Linked DNA regions of Nothobranchius furzeri. The protein of the gene in region 2 interacts with the protein of the main gene of each other region in a pairwise test. Links are inferred from orthologs where the notes say so. Each region holds a gene or a part of one and is shown on either strand. Other genes may lie near its edges.

What was found.
Region 1: the proteins of paraneoplastic antigen Ma1-like (region 2) and aptx interact in binary tests that used the Homo sapiens proteins (3 or more experiments, as listed by UniProt). The two-hybrid records come from large-scale screens. The link is inferred for Nothobranchius furzeri from reciprocal best matches to the Homo sapiens genes PNMA1 and APTX.
Region 3: the proteins of paraneoplastic antigen Ma1-like (region 2) and spg7 interact in binary tests that used the Homo sapiens proteins (3 or more experiments, as listed by UniProt). The two-hybrid records come from large-scale screens. The link is inferred for Nothobranchius furzeri from reciprocal best matches to the Homo sapiens genes PNMA1 and SPG7.

What each region holds. Positions count from the first base shown.
Region 1 is NC_091746.1:79,994,043-79,998,296, reverse strand, and holds the start of aptx (aprataxin), read left to right. Parts: upstream 1-1,443; 5' UTR 1,444-2,227; coding exon 2,228-2,369; intron 2,370-3,150; coding exon 3,151-3,197; intron 3,198-3,320; exon of another isoform or gene 3,321-3,360; coding exon of another isoform or gene 3,361-3,376; coding exon 3,377-3,655; intron 3,656-3,780; coding exon 3,781-3,840; coding exon of another isoform or gene 3,841-3,848; intron 3,849-4,254. UniProt on the Homo sapiens protein: DNA-binding protein involved in single-strand DNA break repair, double-strand DNA break repair and base excision repair.
Region 2 is NC_091745.1:26,674,174-26,677,180, reverse strand, and holds paraneoplastic antigen Ma1-like, read left to right. Parts: upstream 1-1,378; coding exon 1,379-2,296; downstream 2,297-3,007.
Region 3 is NC_091749.1:64,823,451-64,827,958, reverse strand, and holds the start of spg7 (mitochondrial inner membrane m-AAA protease component paraplegin), read right to left. Parts: upstream 2,812-4,508; 5' UTR 2,661-2,811; coding exon 2,439-2,660; intron 2,209-2,438; coding exon 2,106-2,208; intron 2,026-2,105; coding exon 1,936-2,025; intron 1,857-1,935; coding exon 1,615-1,856; intron 1,519-1,614; coding exon 1,379-1,518; intron 1,214-1,378; coding exon 1,111-1,213; intron 1,034-1,110; coding exon 908-1,033; intron 800-907; coding exon 637-799; intron 517-636; coding exon 343-516; intron 265-342; coding exon 140-264; intron 1-139. UniProt on the Homo sapiens protein: Catalytic component of the m-AAA protease, a protease that plays a key role in proteostasis of inner mitochondrial membrane proteins, and which is essential for axonal and neuron development.

The DNA of each region.
Region 1 (4,254 bases), on a different chromosome or scaffold from region 2:
TTTCAGTTCGTCTGGGGTTGCATTTGGCTTCACACCAAGTGTGTCGTAAAAGCCTGTTTCCTTAACCATGTTTGACTTTGACAGATGTTTCTGTTCAATTAAAAGTAGAATCAGTTGTAATAAATTTGACATTTACTACAAAAAAACTTACATTAACACCTTCACAAACATACCTAACGAAGACGCACGTAAGTTAATAGTGTAAAGAATTAGATTTTCTTGCAAGATTGTGAAATATGTTATTTTAATGCAAATGCATTTAACTAACTATTTAACCTGTACTTGAATTAATATAATAATTAGTAATGACAAAAGACTTACAATCTTACCAGAACACGTTATTCAAGTTAATATAAGAATACAAATCTTAGTTTTGCTATTTAACTTTAATTAGCCAGTGAGAGCAGAAGTTTCCCGTTTACGTCGCGAGGTGTTTATATCACTCAGTATTTTTAGGTAGGAGTTAACAGAAAACAAACAGAAGAAACATAATTTGTCTTCGTCTATTGTCTGAAAACATTTAAGTGTCTTATTTTCATAAACGTTTATATGACCGTATGGCTTCCAGTTTACACAAAAAAGAAACGATAAGGCCCCATGTAGCTGCTTTAGCTAGTGGAACTGGTGTTGTGGCGAAAAAAGTTACCCTGTCATAATGCGCATTTCGTTACGGGTAGCAGTTGCTTCCGTTGAAAAACCGACACATCACTAGCCCGTTAAAAACTGAAAAAGAAAATAGCTCTGTTCATCAGCACTTTACAATAATATTATAAACAAATGTTTTGATGTAACAGAAATGTATCTATCACGCATCAGTACAGTATATAGGAGAAAACGGTGTTGATTTGGTGGCTAAAATCAAGTCTTGGTAACTAATTGTAAAATTTAAGCAAATAAAACCACGAGTTACCTTTTTTTTTAAATCATCTTTGACTTCAACACAATTTATTAAAAATGGTGAATAAAGCAGAGATGACCATCGCGAGAAGAGGCTTGATTACAGGGGTATTTTTCTCGGTACAACACCACATTAAAAATCCAACGCTATCAATGTTGTTTTCCTCTATTTGTTAGCAAAAAATTTGACCTGAGACCGGTATATACAAAATATGACTTGAAAATAGCTAATTTCCAACCTTATATGAAGACAACTAAGACCCTTTCAAGGCCAAACCGCACATCGACTGTCTTCTAGAATCTTCACCCGTGTCCCGTGCTGCGTCCAAACGTTTCGCCCCGTTACGTCACTTTTTGGCGACGAAACCGTGTGGCAACACCCCCTTTAGCCAAAACCGATGAAGAAAACAAGCGCACGCACAGAAAGAATGGCGATGCAATGCAATGGACTGTTTTGCAATTTTTTTCTGCAGAAGTGGAAAAAGTCAGTTTACTTTAAAATTTACATCTCTTGCGCTGCTCAATTTACCTTATAAACGCGGTAGGCTAGTTTATCCTACTAAAGTACTAAATCCTAAATTAAAACGGTTGTAGGATCCTGAGTTTAATTTAATGCTAAAAAAAACAAATACCGAAAAGTTCAGACTTTTTAATATTAACGTTAAATTGAAAACATTAGCCTGCACCTGATTCCTGATTTGAATGATAGTAATGAATATGTCAGTTTTCTTGCTGAGGTTGCCTCTGCTAGAAATGTCAGTGCTGTTCTTAGATGAGAAATAGAAATAGAAAAGATTGTTTGGTCCAACCTGCTTAAATAAAAACTGATTATGTGTTAATTGGAGAAAAGGGGAATATGTCATGTTGACATGTTGCAATTTATATATTTAAGCACTGGAAAATACAGGATAAGGAAACAAACAACTAAAAAAACATAACAACCACACAAATAACACTTAGAGGGCTGCTGTGTCTAAACTGAAATGATGAAATAAATGTATAGTCTTGGTTAATTTGTTGTCGTTCTTTTTAAATTTTCCATGCTGTTCCAGTCACTTTCTCCATTCATCCCGGATGTTTTGCCCCCTTAGATGATAGTCGGGCTTTAGAGAAGTTCATTTTGAAGGCGTTCTTATTTAGAAAAACACATTTGAACAGTAAAAAAAACTATGGTTATTACGCTACGAAATGTTCTAAAAAATAAAGCTCTGACAAAAACGTAAAATTCGCTTTTCTTTTGCTGAGTAACATTTGTGATAGTAATCTTGATGACGCATTTCCGGTAGATGTGGTGGTTACGTCATATTTGCTCGCCGCCGGAGAACGCTAAATGACTGATAAAATGCCAATTTGCTGGCTTATCAGTAAGAAAGGAACTCACAGACCCATCCAGCTGCCGCATTTACAGACAGTCGTGTTGGGTCGAGGCCCAGAAACGACTATCAAAGACAAAAAATGCTCCAGGCAACAAGGTAATTTCTCTATTGTCGCTGCGCCTCATTTGTAATGCGTAACACGCGTGTAGTAGTTTTTTTTTACATTGTTTTTGTACTTAATTCGTTCAAGTTTCTTTCCTTCTAAGGATAATTAGAATCAAATTAGGTTTTTAAAAGACCTGCGTATTTTTAGACTTTTATTTTGAAGGACTAAAATAATTCAGCTGGCGCTCTGCCATTAAAGCAACTCAAAGACAGCACATCATGTAAAAATGCACCATTTACATAGTTTTCTTTCTAAATCACATTCAGAGGCCATTATGATAAAAACGTAACAAATACGGTCAGCTTCAGAAGCACAGCAGGCGTCCTCAGACCATTCCTGAACTATTCTACTTCTGGTTTATTTTAACTTTTTCTTTATGCAATTTCATAAATTTTCCTCAACCTTTCAAGTTTAATTATAATTATCCTTTTCAAAACAAAACTTTTCATTGCAGGAGTACGTGATCATATATTGTAATGTGAAAACATCAATTTACTTTTAGGATTTTCCAGGTGTATATAAATACATTGCATATTTAGCCACTTAATTTTTCTTGAATTATATATTCTAATTTTTACGCTGTAATTGGTAACTAAAGTTATGGCACTGAAGAAGACCAAAAGATCTGAGTAACAGCGTGCTCAAATATCTAAAAATGACATCCTGTTCCCCCAATTTAATTTTATTTATTTTTTATTTAAATTTGTCACTAATTAGCTTTGTGAAAATAAAAATCCTTTAACCTGTTTAACTATTATCCTTCCCAACCAGTTGAGCTGAAAGCTGAATGCAACAAAGGTTATGTGAAAGTTAAACAGGTGAGAGAGTTTGGATTACTAATTTATCAGCAACAGAAGCACAATTAATAATTATATGATGATGTTTGTTGTTAAAGTCTCAGTCTTGACAGTATTCTTTGAATATGCTTGCTGTGTGTTTAGCAGGTCTGCTCTCTGTAATAATCTGTATTTAAACTTGTCTATGAATGGCTCCAAAGCTGGGTTTAAACCCCACCTCTGTGGACTCTGCGGTGGTGGGAAAGGGCAACGAGGTGAAAATGAAGCCTGGACAGCATCTTCACGTTGTCAATCAGCTTTACCCATACACTGTCCAGTTCAAAGAAGATCTCACTGGAAACGACAAGAGAGACAGAAGACCAAGAGAGCCTACAGAAGAGGATGGAGAAAAACAGAAAAGCACTCTGACTATGAAAGCAACAATACACACAGAAAAGGATGCCGTGTCAGGCAGTCCTGTAGAAGCTACAAAAACAAATGTGAGAAGAGAGATATGTGTTTCTTTCTTGTTTTATTGTTTATTTGATCATTTTTGGACCACCTGTATTGTTGGTGGTCATTTTATTTCATGCAGATAAATGTTGTTTTCTGATATTTGCCGTAGGTAAGTGTTGGACATTGGAGCCAAGGCCTGAAGACTTCAATGCAAGACCCCAGTATGCAGGTATACAGGTACTGCAATATGGACGACTGCGTTTTCTTAAAGAGCAAGTCACCCCTACCAGATTCTTAATCAACTCTCACTTCCTGTTTGAAAAATGCAACAAATGCTGTTGCCTAGCAGACAGAGAGGGCGGAGCCGCTAACAAATACACACACACAGGCTCACAACGGCATTGTGACATCATAATGTACCAGTTTACATCATAGCATACCTCTTAGCCAATAGCCACGGCAGATTTAAATTCCAATGCAGTGCAGAGTTTTTACCCGACGACGGTGCAACACTGACAGTTTTAGGCAGAATATTTAAATTTTAACTAAAATGCACTGAAGTACCAAATTATTGACCACACATGTCTGCAGCACAATTAGACACACATTTATATAGTTTATCAGCAAAAAAACGTTGATTTGG
Region 2 (3,007 bases):
TTACACTACAGTTACAAGGTCACAACACACAGATTAATCAAAAGATAAGGCAGAGAAGGAAACAAAGGGGTGTGCAAGTGTATGTGTGCAGATGTACATGTGTAGCCTGGTCTCAAATATCTATTCTAGACCCTACAGGTTAAAAGGATATAAATATTGTGTAAAGCCTTTATTGTAAATATTTCATATATTTGAAAAAACAAGGAGTTCAAATGGTTAAAAATGTGTTTAAAATCACAATAAATAGAAGTCAATCATAATTTGAGTGTTCATGGAGTTATAAGTAACAATGAAACTAAAGGTTTATCTAATGTGAAACAAGGAAAACTTTGTATTGTTTCAAGTTGTTTTACAAGTTCATTTTGGGTTGTCAATCTTGTATTTTCTTTTATCCCATTGGTTGATGTAAACCTACTGTCCAATCAGACGTAAGGGAGGCGGGAGCTAAGTGAGGCAAAAGAAAGAAAAAACAGCGAAGCTAGTGAGAGTCGGCAGCAGCACGTTGCGGGAGGAGGTTGTGTACCAGAGCTAATGGAAGAATAGTGAAATAATAGCCGTGGATGCAGAGTCTACGTTCCTGTTATGGACTGTTTTACCCTGTGATGAGTGAGTACTGAATGTGGAGTTAGCATTGAGCTTAAACGGAATGTATAAGTACTTAAAATGTATGGTGCTAATCGCGAGTTAGCATGTTAGCATTTTAGAGCCTGTAATAGCTATGTATGTCGAGTACGTAAGATACAGCTTATTCTGTGGAACTAAATAGTAATCTCTAATGCACAGTGGACCGAGAGGAATTCTCTGGACTCTTCTGCTGTGGATAGGAGTTCTGTGTGGTTGTTCCAGTGTACTCAGCAGCCCGGGTATGCCGCTAATTCCGACCACCTTGCCGAGTGGAGGCCGCATGGTCACCAACCAAGACTGCCCCTCCGTTTGCCTTGCACTTAGCCCAAAGGATTCATGAGTAGACCTGAGCACGTGTGTTTTGTTTTCTGCTGGTTATCAAGTGAAGCGGCCATTTGTTTGTTTTCTGGCCCAACGAGCCCAAGCAACGATCAGGCCTGCAACGGTTTCAGTGAATGAGCTCACAAAGGTTAAAACTGGTTAGTCATTGTTTCTCCTGTTTACCAATAAGATTAGTTAATGTACCCAGGGCCCCGCTCATAGTACTATCACCATCTTAACCGAGGGTTAATCCAGAGCTACTTGAGTTGGGTGCTACACATTTGGAGGCACCGCTGGGATTGTTGTTGTTTTATCTACATTTTAAGTTACCACTAAATCTGCTGTAACCTTAAAGTAACTAAGAGTAACACTGGTCCTAAAAAGCAACTTCAATTAATCTTTTTTTTCCCCCTACAAAGTAACTTGTTAAACTATGGCCACTAAAAGTGATGTCTCACAACCGAATCTTGCAAATTGGTGCAGAGGTGAAGGGCTCGATCAGGCACATGCCATTCTAGTTGTCGGAGTGCCTGAAGAGGAGGACCTATCCACAGTAGAAGAAACACTCGAACAAGTAAAAACCTTGGGCAAGGTAAGAGTAAGAGGAAAAATGTTTGATGCCAATAATCAAACCCTGACCATGTTATGTGAATGCTGTGAAGCAGTCGATCCTACCAAAGTTCCGCCAGAGTTGATTTCCTTTAAGGATGGAAGTAAATGGACAATAGTTGTTGCAGAGCAAGAAACGAACTCCGACCTATTCACAGAGAAGTTGGACAGATTTCTGCGTGATGAAGGGAAAACAATGGAGGATGTTCAAAGACTATGTGATCCTAGAACTCCATGGAACAGCAGCCCTGAGTCAATCATTCGGGTGGTAGGTGATGTGTTGCAGTCCAAGCCAAATGAAAGCAATTTATACCGTCGTTTTAGAATCTTCTCAGGAGTCTACCCTACTCCACCTGGTGAAGACAACTTGGATAGCTGGCTAGAACAAGTAAAGTTCATGACTGATGAGTATGAGTGCTCAGATAAGGAGAAACGCCGAAGAATTATTGAGAGTCTCAAAGGGCCAGCGCTGGAGATCATTCAAGCAGTGCGCATGTCTAATCCCCTGGCAAACCATGTGGACTGCATACAGGCATTGGAAAGTACCTTTGGTACCGCAGAATCCGGTGAGGAACTGTATCTCACATTCAGAGCTATGCATCAAAGACAAGGGGAGTGCTTGTCTAACTTCTTGCTGAGACTGGAAAGATTACTGAACAAAGTCGTGCAAAAAGGAGGCCTACAAGTAGATGAAGCCAACCGAGCAAGGCTTGAGCAACTCATTAAAGGTGCTACTGAATAAGACTTCATGCTGCTTCATCTAGGTCTTAGAGGTAAGCGAAGTGATCCCCCGACATTTTTAAGTCTACTGAAAGAAATTCGAGAAGAAGAGGAGCGTGAAGCTGCAAGACAAAAACTGAAAAAACCAGCACAGAGACAGCACGTGCATGCAGTGCAAGTAGCAAGTGAAACAGACTCCAGAGATTGTCAGCAACATGAGTTTCAGTCCGAAATTCAAGTGCTAAAAGAAAAGCTGAAAGAGCTCAGTAAGCAGTCTCATTCTACAGAGTCAAGCCACAAAAAGATGTCCAGAGAAAAGAAAAAAGAGAAATCAGACACAAGCAGCGAAGTGCAACAGTTAAGAAAAGAAGTCAAAGAGCTGAAAACACAGTTAAGTGTCATGTCGGTAACGCCACAACATTATGCAAAAGAGAGAGGGCACTATTCTAAGTTCAAAGCGGACTTCAGTCCAAAGTCATCTACCTTTAAGCCAAAGAGTAGTAAAGAGTCAGATAATTTCTGCTACAGATGTGGAGAAAATGGCCATTTTGCAAACAAATGTACAGCTCCGGAAAATGCTCAAAAGGTAATCAAAAAGCTTATTCATCAAGTGCATGGAAGCCCAAATGGACAAAGTCAAAGTACCGACGCTCAAGATCAGTGTGTTGCTCGAGTTAATACTACCAACGTTCCAACTCAAAGTGCCAACATACCGGAAGGTCTTATTGGTCCA
Region 3 (4,508 bases), on a different chromosome or scaffold from region 2:
TACGTGTGGACAGAGTTTCTTTTTAAAACGAGGTGGCGTGGATGCAAGTTTTTGGAGGGGCGTATATTCGTTTTTAGCTTTAGGAAGTGATGGACTGACACTGAGGACAATAAGATGAAATCGGTGTCACTAGAACGACCTGCAGAGTGGGCAGATCGATGAAGATGTGTCTGTCCAGTCTGCCTGGTCTCATCAGAGCATTGTCCAGAATATCTGCTCTGTTGGTGGAGGCGAGGACTATGACGTGGTCTGTGGTTCCCATGCCTGCCGAAAGAGAAGAGGAGGTGGATTTGAACGATTCATCCTTTCATCTGATGTGTGGGATCTGGCGGCTCTGCTCACCGTCCATCTCCACCAGCAGCTGGTTGAGCGTCTGCTCCTCTTCGGTGTTGGAGAAACCCGACATGTTGGTGGAGCGCTTCTTTCCTACGGCGTCGATCTCATCGATGTAGACGATGCACGGCGCTCGAGCGCGAGCCTCTTTGAACAGACTCCGGACCCTGGCGGCGCCGAGACCTGCGCACAAACAACACGAGTCACGACGCATCTCACGTTGACAAAAGCTGCTGTGTGCGACGAAGCCTAGCTGTGGGTGTGAGCGCCACCGGCTCAACTACGGTTATGGTTTTTATTCACCTCCTATGACCTCCACAAACTCAGAGCCGGCCATAGCCAGAAAGGGAACCTGAGCCTCCGTAGCTACGGCCTTCGCTAGCAGGGTTTTGCCACATCCAGGAGGTCCAAGCAGCAACGCACCTTTGGGAACTTTGGCTCCCAGCTGCAGGTACCGCTCTGGACTCTGCCAACACGTAACGAGTTTATTTACACATTATTGTATTACATATCCACTGTTTGCTTCACAAGAGTCAAACAAACACTAGTGGAAAGTTCAAGTGTGGTTTCTGACCTTTAAGTAATCGACAAATTCTTTTACTTCCATCTTCGCTTCATGCAGTCCCGCTACATCCTTGAAGCTCACGCCTTTACTCGATTTCCCGTCTACAATAGTGAACTTGGCCATCTTCAGCTGATTCTGCGGGGTTTGTTATAATACATGGTTAGTCTGCTGTTAAGTAAAGACAACAGCTCTTGTTGGGTTTTTTTACTCACAAAAGCGCTGAAGCCGCCGTCCCTGCCAACCATGCCTGCTAGTCGGAAGATGTACCAGAGAATAGCTACGCCTACAGCAGCCATCCCCAGAGCATAGATGGTTCTGCGAAGAGACAACGTTATCAAAATGTTACAACTGGTCACATTTCAAACGGTTGGCAGGAGATAAAAAAATAAAATAAAAAATAATGTTGCTCAATTTAACTGGCCCAGACCAAAAACCTGTCTGAATCAAACTCCTGTTTGAAGAAGAGGTTCAGTTTCGTACTTCCCAAAGAATCCCGTGCGTTTGTAGGACACCGGGATTCTATCTTTAACGTCAATGTTCAGCTCCTCCTCTGCTGCTCTCAGCTTCTCCTCAAACTTGTCTATGTTAGCAACCTGCATCCTGTACATGAGGGCCAGCCTCTGCAGAGGAAGACACGTGAAGCAGATCAGACGTTAGCATGCATGTCTCGTTTGCTCTTTGGCTTTTCACTTTGCACAAACTCCCACGCCACTTACAGGCCTTCCAAAGATAACGGCCCCCGGGTGAAGATAAATTTCCACGATGTCGCTCTCAGGAACCACCTGCACACGGGACACCTCTCCTTTGACCAACATCTCGTTGACAAAGTCGTTCCAGGAGATGTTCCCACCGCTGGTGTTGATGGAGTTCAGTAGGCTCATGATGAGTGCAATGATGAAGAGAGTGCGCAGGCGATCGCGGTACATCTGATCCTCCTGCTCACGCCGCTTCTTCTCTTCTAAAATGTAAAATGTGACATCAACGGGATCAAAGGAAGAGAAAAGCGGGAAAAAAAACTACTCATGGTGGATTTTTACCTTCATCTTCCTGTGGAGTTTTTCCCTTTGATCCAGAACTTTTATCGTTCTGTCGTTGAGACTGAGACGCACTGAAAAAGTGCGTTGCTCCTAAGATTAAAACGGTTTTAGACACAGTGTTAATACTGGAACATAAATATATTCATGGTGGAAATGGGACTGATAATCACCTAATAGATTAATCAAACCAACTGGATTTCTCAGTAGGTTGTTCCTGATTAACTCTTTGCTAAGTCCCACCATGCTAGATCCTAAAGGTCTGTGAAGAAGACTCTGAAACATGAGAATGGAGTTAAAACTGCTGAGAGCAGAGCAGATAACAGTTATATGTTACCAGAGAATAACAAAATCGCTTTCTATTGAGAATAATCATCTTGGAAAAAAACAGATTAAGATCATATTTAAAGGTCAGGATCACTATTAAGGAATAGGATTAGCCAAGACCACAAAAAGAAACCAGCTTTTTAGTTTTCTTTTAAAAATCTACAAATGTTTCTGCTTACCTGGATGAGTTTACTCTGTGTGCGACTTGTCAGAGCCCCCTCTGAGCTTGAAACAAGCGTCTTACCCACGTTAACACACCTTGACAGCACATTTTTGCCGCTATGGGTGTTGATGAGTTTGCTTGCAAAAGCATGAGAGTTACGCTTTGATAGCGACAGGAATAAACATCTGCTGCGCCTTCTACAAACAGCCGTGCTGTGCGGTAACAACATGGCCGACATGGTGTTTTTTACGAGTCAATGTGAACATGAACTGACTAGTAGCAGTCCCATAACAGCAATCCTTAGTGAAGCTCAGAAATGTTAAAGGAACGTTTGTTTACCCCCAACCTTGGAGCTAGCATCATGCTACGTAAGTCAACGGCGACTGCTCTTCGTTGGTTTATATCGGAAGTTCTTAACCAGGTAACGGGGAACCAGTGCCACCCAGTGGGCACAAAGTGTCATGTATATTTTCATTTAATAAAAAGTGGTTAAAATCTTTGAAAATGCAGCTTTTAAATCAACAATTACGTAAAAAATTAACCTGAAGAAAATAAATATCTATATCTTGTTTGTTAACCAGTCTAAGTGTTGGGATTTTTGTTTTGAAAACCAGTTCTGAAAAGCCTGACATTAAGAATTTGCTGTGACAAGTGTTTCAGAATCACATAATGTCTACACATAGTTCCAGAAGAAAAAATATATAGAAATTTAACCAATATAGTGTACTTTCAAATACAGTATATTCTGTTTAATTATTCTAAGGTTATTATTTCATATTATTTCAGTGTTGAATCGTATTTTAGAACATTTAGAAAAATGTGTTAATTTGAAATAGGAAATAACACTCTTTCTGAGATTTTACATGGATGAAGAAAAAAGCTTCATATTGGTACCAAGAGCTAAAAAACGTGAAAAATTATTCGTGTGTAAGTTTGAGTGTTTGCTATTATTACACAAATAGCAAACAAATAGCACGAAAAAAGCAATATTTTAAACTCCATCATTTAAAAGTGAATATCTTAGAATAATTATCTATATCGATGAAAGGTGTTGATTTACAACCATCCACCAGATGGCGACCTTGTTCAAGAATACTCTATGGATCGCTTGAACCAGAGAAATAATGTAAATGCGCGTTTGTCTTCATTTACACAAATGAGTGGATTTTATTATTTTTATGTGTTTTATTTGTTAATTTCTAAAAAATATATGTTGTTCTAAATTATTATAACACTACTTAAGTTTTACGACGACACTCCTCTTCAGTAGCTACAGTCGGGTAATTTAGCTTATAACGTGTTTAGTACCCAGAAAACATAAACTAATGTTTTATTTCCCACCGCGGTTGTAAACAACTACATAGTCCAATGACACACGTACGGGTCAGTGTGAATGGCATGTGAAAACCCAATAAGTAGAGAGACGTTTTCCTCGAACCAATAGGATTTCTCGTATCATCCCTTTGCGGATACGTTCAATTTTGCACCGGAACGCTCCGTTTATCCGCTAACTTCATCTCCTAAACACAAACTCTTGTAAAGCGACAAGATTGTGCCATTTATCAGAGCGCTGCTTAGATCATTTCTTTTGGGATAGGAAATCTAAGACTAAAAAGTGCTTTTTTGCATTTGAAAGAAATATAAATTGAAAGATCACATAAGAATTTAACAAATTATTGCTACTTCTTTAGAAATTGTATTGCTACTTTTTTTTTAGAAATTGTATTGTTTCAACTTCTTAAGTGCATAAAAATTTGAATGATGCCACGTTCACAATATTCTGATTTACGTTTTAAAAAGAAAAACAACAACAGTATGGATGTCGAAGGATATTAAAACGAGTTCACCCAGTGCCCGAACTCCATTTCCTTTTCTTACTCCTCCAACTGCATAATGGAGAGTTGTCTCTTGTGCTGGAAACTACGACGGGGTTTCAGCCATATTGGTGCAGTGATGGGGTTTACTGTAACAAGAGGCTGACGTACTGTGAAGATCCAAAATGGCGTCAGATTCCTCGCGCTTGAAAGGTTTCCGCCCCCAGCGTGTGAGCCAATCAGAAAACTCCTTTCATCCCGGATGCATTTCC